2 linked regions of the Daphnia pulex genome follow. The protein of the gene in region 1 interacts with the protein of each later gene in a biochemical or structural test. Links are inferred from orthologs where the notes say so. Each region holds a gene or a part of one and is shown on either strand. Other genes may lie near its edges.

Region 1 (4,577 bases):
TGATTCTATGCGCCAGATACCAACTTCCGTAATTATTTCTTTTTTCCAAATCCGTTTTATATCTATAATCATATATATTGAATCAAAATGTATTACATCATTTCAGTTGGACTATAGAACTAACACCTGTTTGGCGCCAGTTAAAAATCAAGGATCGGTAATTTCTACAATCGATAACCATCATTATTAACAAAACTGGTTTCGTAACTATTCACTTCTTTTTAAAATATTTACAGTGCGGAAGCTGTTGGGCTTTCACTGCCATAGCGCCGCTTGAGTTCGCTCAATGCAAAAAGAGTGGTGCAAAAGTTATTTTGAGGTAATTATCATTTGGAGCAATATATTTGAGTCATTTTTCGTGTCAGTGTGGTGTGCGAAGAAAGGTTCGTTTCGATACAGGAATCTTTATAATCGCTGAAAAATGACATTTTGCTCAAATAGTTAACTATTTTCACTATTAGCGAACAACAACTGGTCGACTGCGACCCTAACAATGGTGGTTGTAACGGCGGATGGTATACAACCGCTTGGGAATATCTAAAGAGTGGATCAGCGAGACAGTCGGCCTATTCTTACACTGCTGTTGTAAGTAATTGATTTGTTTGTTTTTTTTTTAATTGAAAAAATCTTCCTATACCTTTTTATTATCTACAGAAAGGAACTTGCAAGTTTTCCACGTCCACGATTGGTTCGAAAGTCGCTACGTACGGTAGCGTTACATCCAAATCACCATCCTCAATGCAAGCGGCTCTCGTGAGATACGGTCCCCTTTCAGTGGCTATCACCGTCATCAACTCCTTTTACTCTTATAAGTAACTATATTTCCAAAAAAAGAAACACTTTTTTTGTTAAATATTTATTTAGCCTATTAATTATCTGTGATGTCGGATGAGAATTTGTTATTCATCTAAATTCTGTTTCTCCAATTCAATTTGTAAAATAGGAGCGGCGTTTACACTGATGCGGCGTGCGACAATAAGGGCGTGAATCACGGTGTGGTTGTCGTAGGATGGGGTAATCTTTCTGGAGTTGATTACTGGATTGTTCGTAACTCATGGGGATCCGGATGGGGAAGCTCGGGCTACATTTTAATGCAGCGGGGTGTTAACAAATGCAGTATCGAAACTTACCCAGCCGCTGTTGCATCCGTCGTCTGAAAACATTAAAAGGTCATCTTTTCTACGTAAACAACCATTGAAGAAACAAGTTCTTTTGGAGATTTTTCTTATTTATGTTTCACTGTCTGCAAATCTGTGTGGGTCACAGACTCACAGCCTTTTAGATGATGAGCGTGTTAATTTTATATAACTACTAGGTAAACTTGGGATACAATACACATAAATCAGCATAGATAAATCGAAATTCTGGCCTATTCTTTTCGCTTCTCCATAAAGAAATGTCTGAAATATGATCCTTCTCGAAAAAACCCCGTTTGAAATTCATTTTGTTTCACCTCAACGACAGGTATCGAAATTCGAGTTGTCTGCGGCGGTCTTAATTAATTCCAAAATATCACACGAACTACTAGTAATTTTAATCCGGATCTTTGAGCGTTAGAATTGTCTTTAGGTTCTGAAGTCTAAACAAGATAGACCTCATGAATTTTTGTTAAACATAGGAACCCCCCAAAAAATTAATTAAATAAAAATTAGTTGCACAAGGTTTTAGTTTTACTATCCGATCATAGAGGGCTTTTGTCGAGCAGCACATTCAGTGCGCGAAGTGTTGTCAAAGAATTTCTCTGCGTAAACGAAATAGCTAATTTTTTTTGCCATATTTGCCCGAATAACGAGAATTCGTTTTCAATATTAATTGCAGGTTTTGAGCTATTTACGTTCCACTGGTCAACGTAATTTCAATCAAAACGCGTTTTCCCAAATCAGGAATCGTACAAAGTTGTAAGCAGATAATGGCTCGAATTCCATTATGCTAGTCATCTGTGTCCCTTTTTCTTTCGGTCGCTTGAAGTTTATCAACTACTCACGGCCTTCCGATTGATTTCATTGACGTAAATTATAATCATTAAGCCAAAAGTAATTGCAACATGGCTGAAAATGGTAAAAATGATGGTGGCAATATCTTGAGGTATTTGGCAATTTTAATATTTAGATGTAACCAATACTAATGTTTGTTTTTGACATGGTAGTGCTGGGGACAGTCAAACACTGGACAAGCGTGTTGCAGCTCGTCAGTTAATCAAACGTTATTATTTCCAGCTGACTGAAGGATGTGGTGACCAAAACTGTAACAATGAACATTGTGCCTCTAGTAAAAAAGTTCAAAATCTTTCTCCAAACCAAGCTGCTGCTCAGGTATCAACATAAAAAATAATTTTAGAAGAAGCCAGTCATTGATTGATTATATTGCATAGGCTCTGGATTTATTTGCCCGCAAAGGAAGGCTTTGTGTTGGCACTGGCAAGAATGAACTACCGAGCACATTGTTTCCTGAAATTACACCTGCTAGTACTAGTGCCATCTCTGATCAGCAATTGCTCAAAGTATTTAACCAATTGTTTCATTTCAGTAGTCTCATTAATCAGGCTAGATTTCCAATTTGAAGCAGGGATTGTGGGTTCCTCCAGCTCTGAGTGTGTCTGGCCATCCTGCAAATGACAAATCAGGCATTTCCAAACCAACCAAGTTGACAGAAACAAATTTTAAGCAGATCGTTGACAATTGCAAAGAATATGGAATCTATTCAAAGCTAGTTCACACATTGGGACATGTCTTTGCCAATCCTGAGCTGTTGGGGAAGAGTTTTATTACGCAAGGAAACAACTCATGTACATCTACATTAGGACATGGCCAGCTAAGTAAAGAACAACTTCGCTCGATGGAGGTGGATTTGGATAAAGATAAAGACAGCCAAGAAGCCGTCGCAGAACCTCGTCTCCAGGACGTTGGCCAAGAAGTCAGCGTTGATATCTGTTGCGTCCGCCGATCATTCGAAGTCTTGAGCTCCATCGAGCCACAAAACTACGAAAGCGCCTTAGTTCACGCCCTCATTCTTCTATGCGAAACTATTGAACTGGATATGAAATTCGGGAGGCAAAAAGCTGAAGTCAATTTGCTCAACGTCTTCGTCATTGTTTTCGAACTACCGTGGCTTGGCACTGGTGACTACTTTGAAAGTGTTTTGCCGACCTTATGCCGCGCCTGCGCTCTTTTACCTCTAACCCAACAAGCCACTCTAGTCCGATTTTGGGCGGCTCACAGTGTCCCCAATCTAAGAAATCTGGTCCAAACACTTCAACAGCTCATTAGTTTTAGAGTGTTATCAGGAGATTTTGGGCGAGACTATGCCATCAATGATGACAATACTATTACTGCTTGTGTCAAGGTATAGTGGTTTAAATATTGTTTTGCAATGCTTACCCCTCTTATTCGTTGATTTTCCAATTTGTCTAACAGGTGATGCGAATACTGTACTGCGTCAACATATTTTCTTGTACCACACCTAGCAGTAAGTTGACTGGTGCATCAGTTGACGCGATGGAAACAGACGATCCTTCTAAAGATTCCTTCGATGTCTTTTCGTTTGGAATCGATCCTTCCCCTAGGTTGGGTTCCAAGCAAAACAAGGTAAGCTTTGACTGACATTTCGAAACAAAATTTGTTTTGATCCATTTTTTACTTTGCTAAATAGACAAGAAAGAATGATCCACTTATGTCGGAACTTGGAGTCAACGTTCTTGACTGTCGACAACCTCCGGTCGCTTTTGCTGACTTCTACAACGAACCGCTAAGTGATGTTGTTGAGATGGATCGTGATTTTGCCTACTTTGCCGCTGCCTCCGAAGCCCCTCCTTCGGCTTCCAACAATGCATTGAAGATTAGTTTCATGAACTTCCCATTCATTCTTACACCGGCCGCCAAAGCCCTCGGTCTCTATTATGATAACCGTATCAGAATGTATAGCGAACGTCGTCAAAGTATTTTCAACAGCGTCATGAACGGACAACCAAGTAATCCATATCTAAAGGTATTTATCCAATAGAGGTTTTCTATTTCTTAAAAAGATTCTAACTAAACTTACTTTTTTCTATCCCTATTTCACTAGTTGAAAATTCGACGTGATCATGTCATCGACGATGCCCTTATTGGTTTGGAAATGGTAAGTTTCAATCAGGGATCTAATTAGGAAACGTCCTTATTGACTAATTACTTACTTAACAGGTAGCCATGGAGAATCCTTCGGATCTCAAGAAGCAATTGGTGGTGGAATTTGAAGGCGAGCAAGGCATTGATGAAGGTGGTCTGTCGAAAGAGTTTTTTCAGTTAGTCATCGACCAAGTTTTCAATCCCGACTACGCCATGTTTGCCTTCAACTCCGACACTCGCAATTTCTGGTTCAACCCTACGTCGTTTGAAAGTGACGCCCAATTTACGTTGATTGGCATCATGCTCGGATTGGCTATTTACAACACGATCATTCTAGACATTCACTTTCCTATGGTTGTCTATCGTAAGCTTCTTGGTCGTAAAGGGACATTCGAAGACCTTCAAGAACTCGATCCAACTCTTTGGAAAGGTAAGTCTAATTTTCCTCTAAACAAGTCTAAGTTTATATTTAAA
Region 2 (4,126 bases), on another chromosome or scaffold:
TTACGAATGTGCGCGCAATGAAAAGAGGACCAAATTGATAGAAATCCTTCGTGAATTGGGAGAAGCTAGGACTATTGTGTTTGTCGACAGCAAGAAAACGGCAGATTTCGTTGCTGTATTTTTGTGCAACAGCGATATCCAGGTAGAACATATTCGTATATTGTATTGAATATTTTTATTAAGTTTTCGTATAGGCTACGAGTATCCACGGTGACCGTCTTCAGAGTCAACGCGAAACAGCACTTCGTGAATTCAGGACTGGTATACGTAATGTTCTGGTTGCCACTAATGTCGCTGCACGTGGATTAGGTATATTTCTTTCTGTTTAAAATGTGAATTATGTTAAATCAAATTTTTCTAGATATTGAGGGCGTCAAGTACGTTATTAATTACGACCTTCCTGGTGATATTGAGGAATATGTGCATCGCATTGGTCGAACTGGTCGTGTGGGTAATGTTGGACAATCGATTAGTTTCTTTGATGTAGAGAAAGATGGTCCTAACGCGGGCAAGCTAGTTTCATTGCTTTCAAAGGTAAAGAGATAAAATGGTTTTGAAGTGTTATAGGTTTTTTCATGGAATATTATTTTAGTCCAATGCTGATGTCCCTGCATTCTTGCAAGCGTTGGTGTCCGGAATGGGTGGAATGGGTCTTGATTACAATGCACCTTCGACTCAGGGTGGTTTCGCTAGTCGTGACATGCGTCGGGTGAGTTAAATTTTCGATTGTAAACATTCTGGTGGTGTTTTTTGTTATATTGTTTTTTTTTTTTTTTATATTCAGTTTGGTGATAAACCTGTAGGAGGTGGCGGAGCTGAACGTCCAACCGAAGCTGAGGAGAGCTGGGACTAACGAACTTTCAACGGCGCCTCTTCATTATTCTAAATTTTTGTTTAACGTTTGGAGTTCTCCAAATTAAAAAAAGAAAAGAAATCTCATCCAAGAAAATCTTGGAATTCCCTTACTAAGAATCAATTTGTCGCAATGTTATTATGTGTTTATTTTTCTAACCCAGATTACGAATACAGAACAAATTTCCTTTGTTAAATTTTTTTCTATAAAAAACTTACTTACTCCTAAGCTTATTTGTTTTTCAATTGTTATTGCTGTGAAAGACTAAACTATAGTAGGGGAGGAAATTTTGATGAAATCGACTTGTTTTATTTGAATCTTTAAATTATAAAACTAACTTAAAAGTACCATGCTCACTTGGTATGCATGCAACTTTCAATTTTGCAAAGGCGTGTATGCAAATTAACCTGGAGTACATGAAAAGTAATAATCGCTTACTATTGCGCAATTATCAAATGTAGCCAAAAATTCGCGATCTCCACGAATTTGGGGTGATGAAGATCGCATGTAGTGTAAAATCAGATGAATTGAGGGTTTTACGATACTTTCTTATCAACAGGAAACTGATCTCAGATTTTACACGGACACGGAGATGTTCAAAGTAACTCCCCGCGAGCAGGACAAGGAGTTGAGTTGATAAAAGTTTTTGAGTGCAGCCTAGCGGCCAAGATAGGAACCCAGGAAATATTATTCATCTTCAGTTCTTCACCGATGGTTGCTAGAAAAGTCTACTGATTAAAAGACACAATAAAAGAAGAAGCTAGGCAACTGTAGTTCCCAAAGTTGTTACAATAAATTGTAATGGATCTTGAAGATCGTGAACTCAGTCCTCAAAATACAGAGAAGCTAGTCCAATTTCAGGTAAGAAATCGACTTATTCATGTATATATTCGTCATAAAATGTTGAAAGTAAAAGTGTTAAGTAAATGTCTCTTTATAAAGGAGTTGTCTGGAATCGATGATCTGGACAAATGTATGGAGATTTTAGAGAGGCACAACTGGGATGTAGAGACAGCCATACATGATCATCTTGGTCTAGATCCCAGAGAAATGGCTCAACCTGCCAGGGAAATGCCTGTATTTCCTCTACAAAATGGACAACCTACTGTCCACAGACCTCTCCCACAGAACCCACCTAGAACACAACCTGTCGACTCAGTTATTCAAAGGATAATGACTTACTTCTTCAACCCCTTCCTTGATGACAACACAGGCCTTTTTCCATTGCCAAACCAAAGGCCTGATGGGTTTACAGGATGGCTGTTTTTCCTCTCATCTCTTCCATTAAGAGTTGTGATGGTTACATTTTATCATTTAACCCGTTTTGTCTTCAGGATCATCAGACCAGAAAACCGACCAGGTATTTAAATCTCTACTTTCCTTCAAAATTTCCTTTCTAATTGTGTTTCTGTTAATCCAATAGCTGTCACAGATCCAACAGGAAATGTCATTTCCTTCATTCACGAGTATAATGAAACATTTGGAGATCAACACCCAACTTTCTATCCTGGAACCTACAGTCAGGTTCTCAATGAAGCTAAAAAAGATCTTAAATTTTTGTTGGCATACCTCCACTGTAAAGACCACCAAGACACAAATAAGTTTTGCCGTCAGACGCTCTGCAACCCTCAAGTCATAGAGTTCATTAATAGCAATTGCTTAATGTGGGCGTGCAGTGTAAATAGTTTGGAAGGCTACCGTGTCTCGCAAGCGCTTCGAGAGAATACTTACCCATTTTTGGCCATTATTGTTCAGAGGGAATTCCGTATGACCGTCGTTGGGAGGTACACGGGAAAAATTTCTGTTGCAATATTGAAATCGATTTTTAACGATCTTTTCATGATTTCATTTGCAGAATTGAAGGATTTATTGAACCAGATGCCCTAGTTCAACGTTTACGAACCACAATTTCAGATAATGAAGCTTTTCTAGTGGCCGCAAGGGCAGACCGTGAAGAACGTAGTTTTAACCAAGCTCTAAGGTTAGAGCAAGATGAAGCTTATCTCGAATCGTTACGAGCTGATCAAGAGAAGGAAGAGAAAAAGAGACGTGATCGTTTGCTTGAAGAAGAACGTCTTAGGGAGATTAGAGAGATGGAACTAGCCGAAGAACGAAAGAAAGAGGTAAGGACGACAAGTATATCGCTATCCAATCCGGATTTAATTTTACCCACCCTTTGTAGGAAATGATCCGGAGGAAGCAAGAAGCAATTAACTTGATACCGCCAGAACCCGCTGCCGACGAATCCGGAATTTGCCGTATTCTGATCCGATTACCTAGAGGGCAGAAACTAGAACGGCGCTTCCATCGAACAATCCACACACTCAAAGTAATTTTTTCTCATGGCCATTTCAAACCTTAAATCCATGACCATATAAAATTTTTTATCTGCTAATTATTTCGCAATAGGATCTGTACTATTTTATTTTGGCTCATCCCGATTCTCCATATCAATTTGAAATGGCTACTTCTTTCCCTAAGCGAACGTTACCATGGCAGCCCGACATGGATACTTACCCGACGTTGGCAGAAGTAGGTCTTGGAGCCTCTGAAGCTCTTCTCGTCTTGGACTTGGATGCTTGATCAGTAGAGTTAAAAAATAATGTGTTTACAAAAACCTTTACCTACTCTTGCCCCCAAATTTTTCTTCAATTTCACATTGACCCGGTATTAAACCGCCATAAAAGTATCATGATCATAAAGAAAGAATAAAGAATTTCCATATATATTTTCTGTTATTTCCTTAATTTTGACCCGAAAGCCAGAAAAACCGGCAAAACAGCACAGAGCGACACCTGACAAGCCCCGGCTATTTTGTTAGCTATTGAATAAATTTTGCATATAAATGTCTAGGAAAAAAGGAATTTTGAACAAAAGAATCAAGAAGCTTTAGTGGAAATGAGGAAAGGGGAGCGGTTGAAACCGAACCAATCAAGAACAAAATAATTGGGTAAAAAAAATCAAATTCAAGGAAAACACTGGGGGGGAGGGGAGATGTGGGGTGTATGGGAGTGTAGAGGTTAAGGGCCCTACTAGAAATGAACATAAAATGTCTTCATTAATTTTCCTCTTCTCTGGAAAGTTTTGGTTTCACAAGGACAACACACGCACGGAACAATAATTTATGATCGGGAAAAATAATAATAAAAAAAAAAAAAATAGGAGAAATGAAAAAAAAAAAAAACAACGAAGAGCTGTCTTTACTACAGACCAGGAAAAATCCCAGAGATTCTCGGAGAATTTACAACAGTTGCGGATTAAAGCATCGGGAAT

What was found.
Region 2: of the proteins of ubiquitin-protein ligase E3A-like (region 1) and FAS-associated factor 2-like, one has a biochemical effect on the other in vitro, tested with the Homo sapiens proteins (2 studies listed by BioGRID). The link is inferred for Daphnia pulex from reciprocal best matches to the Homo sapiens genes UBE3A and FAF2.

The regions. Positions count from the first base shown.
Region 1 is NC_060025.1:1,159,641-1,164,217, reverse strand, and holds the start of ubiquitin-protein ligase E3A-like, read left to right. Parts: upstream 1-1,667; 5' UTR 1,668-1,745; exon of another isoform or gene 1,746-1,818; 5' UTR 1,819-2,044; coding exon 2,045-2,085; intron 2,086-2,146; coding exon 2,147-2,312; intron 2,313-2,371; coding exon 2,372-2,500; intron 2,501-2,547; coding exon 2,548-3,342; intron 3,343-3,413; coding exon 3,414-3,584; intron 3,585-3,648; coding exon 3,649-3,984; intron 3,985-4,062; coding exon 4,063-4,116; intron 4,117-4,178; coding exon 4,179-4,533; intron 4,534-4,577. Other genes in the region: crustapain-like, read left to right, coding at 1-157, 237-319, 462-585, 655-812, 944-1,157. UniProt on the Homo sapiens protein: E3 ubiquitin-protein ligase which accepts ubiquitin from an E2 ubiquitin-conjugating enzyme in the form of a thioester and transfers it to its substrates.
Region 2 is NC_060019.1:5,817,662-5,821,787, forward strand, and holds FAS-associated factor 2-like, read left to right. Parts: upstream 1-1,429; 5' UTR 1,430-1,654; coding exon 1,655-1,714; intron 1,715-1,795; coding exon 1,796-2,213; intron 2,214-2,276; coding exon 2,277-2,637; intron 2,638-2,708; coding exon 2,709-2,976; intron 2,977-3,035; coding exon 3,036-3,182; intron 3,183-3,262; coding exon 3,263-3,436; 3' UTR 3,437-3,579; downstream 3,580-4,126. Other genes in the region: ATP-dependent RNA helicase vasa-like, read left to right, coding at 1-142, 195-309, 362-534, 593-709, 785-853. UniProt on the Homo sapiens protein: Plays an important role in endoplasmic reticulum-associated degradation (ERAD) that mediates ubiquitin-dependent degradation of misfolded endoplasmic reticulum proteins.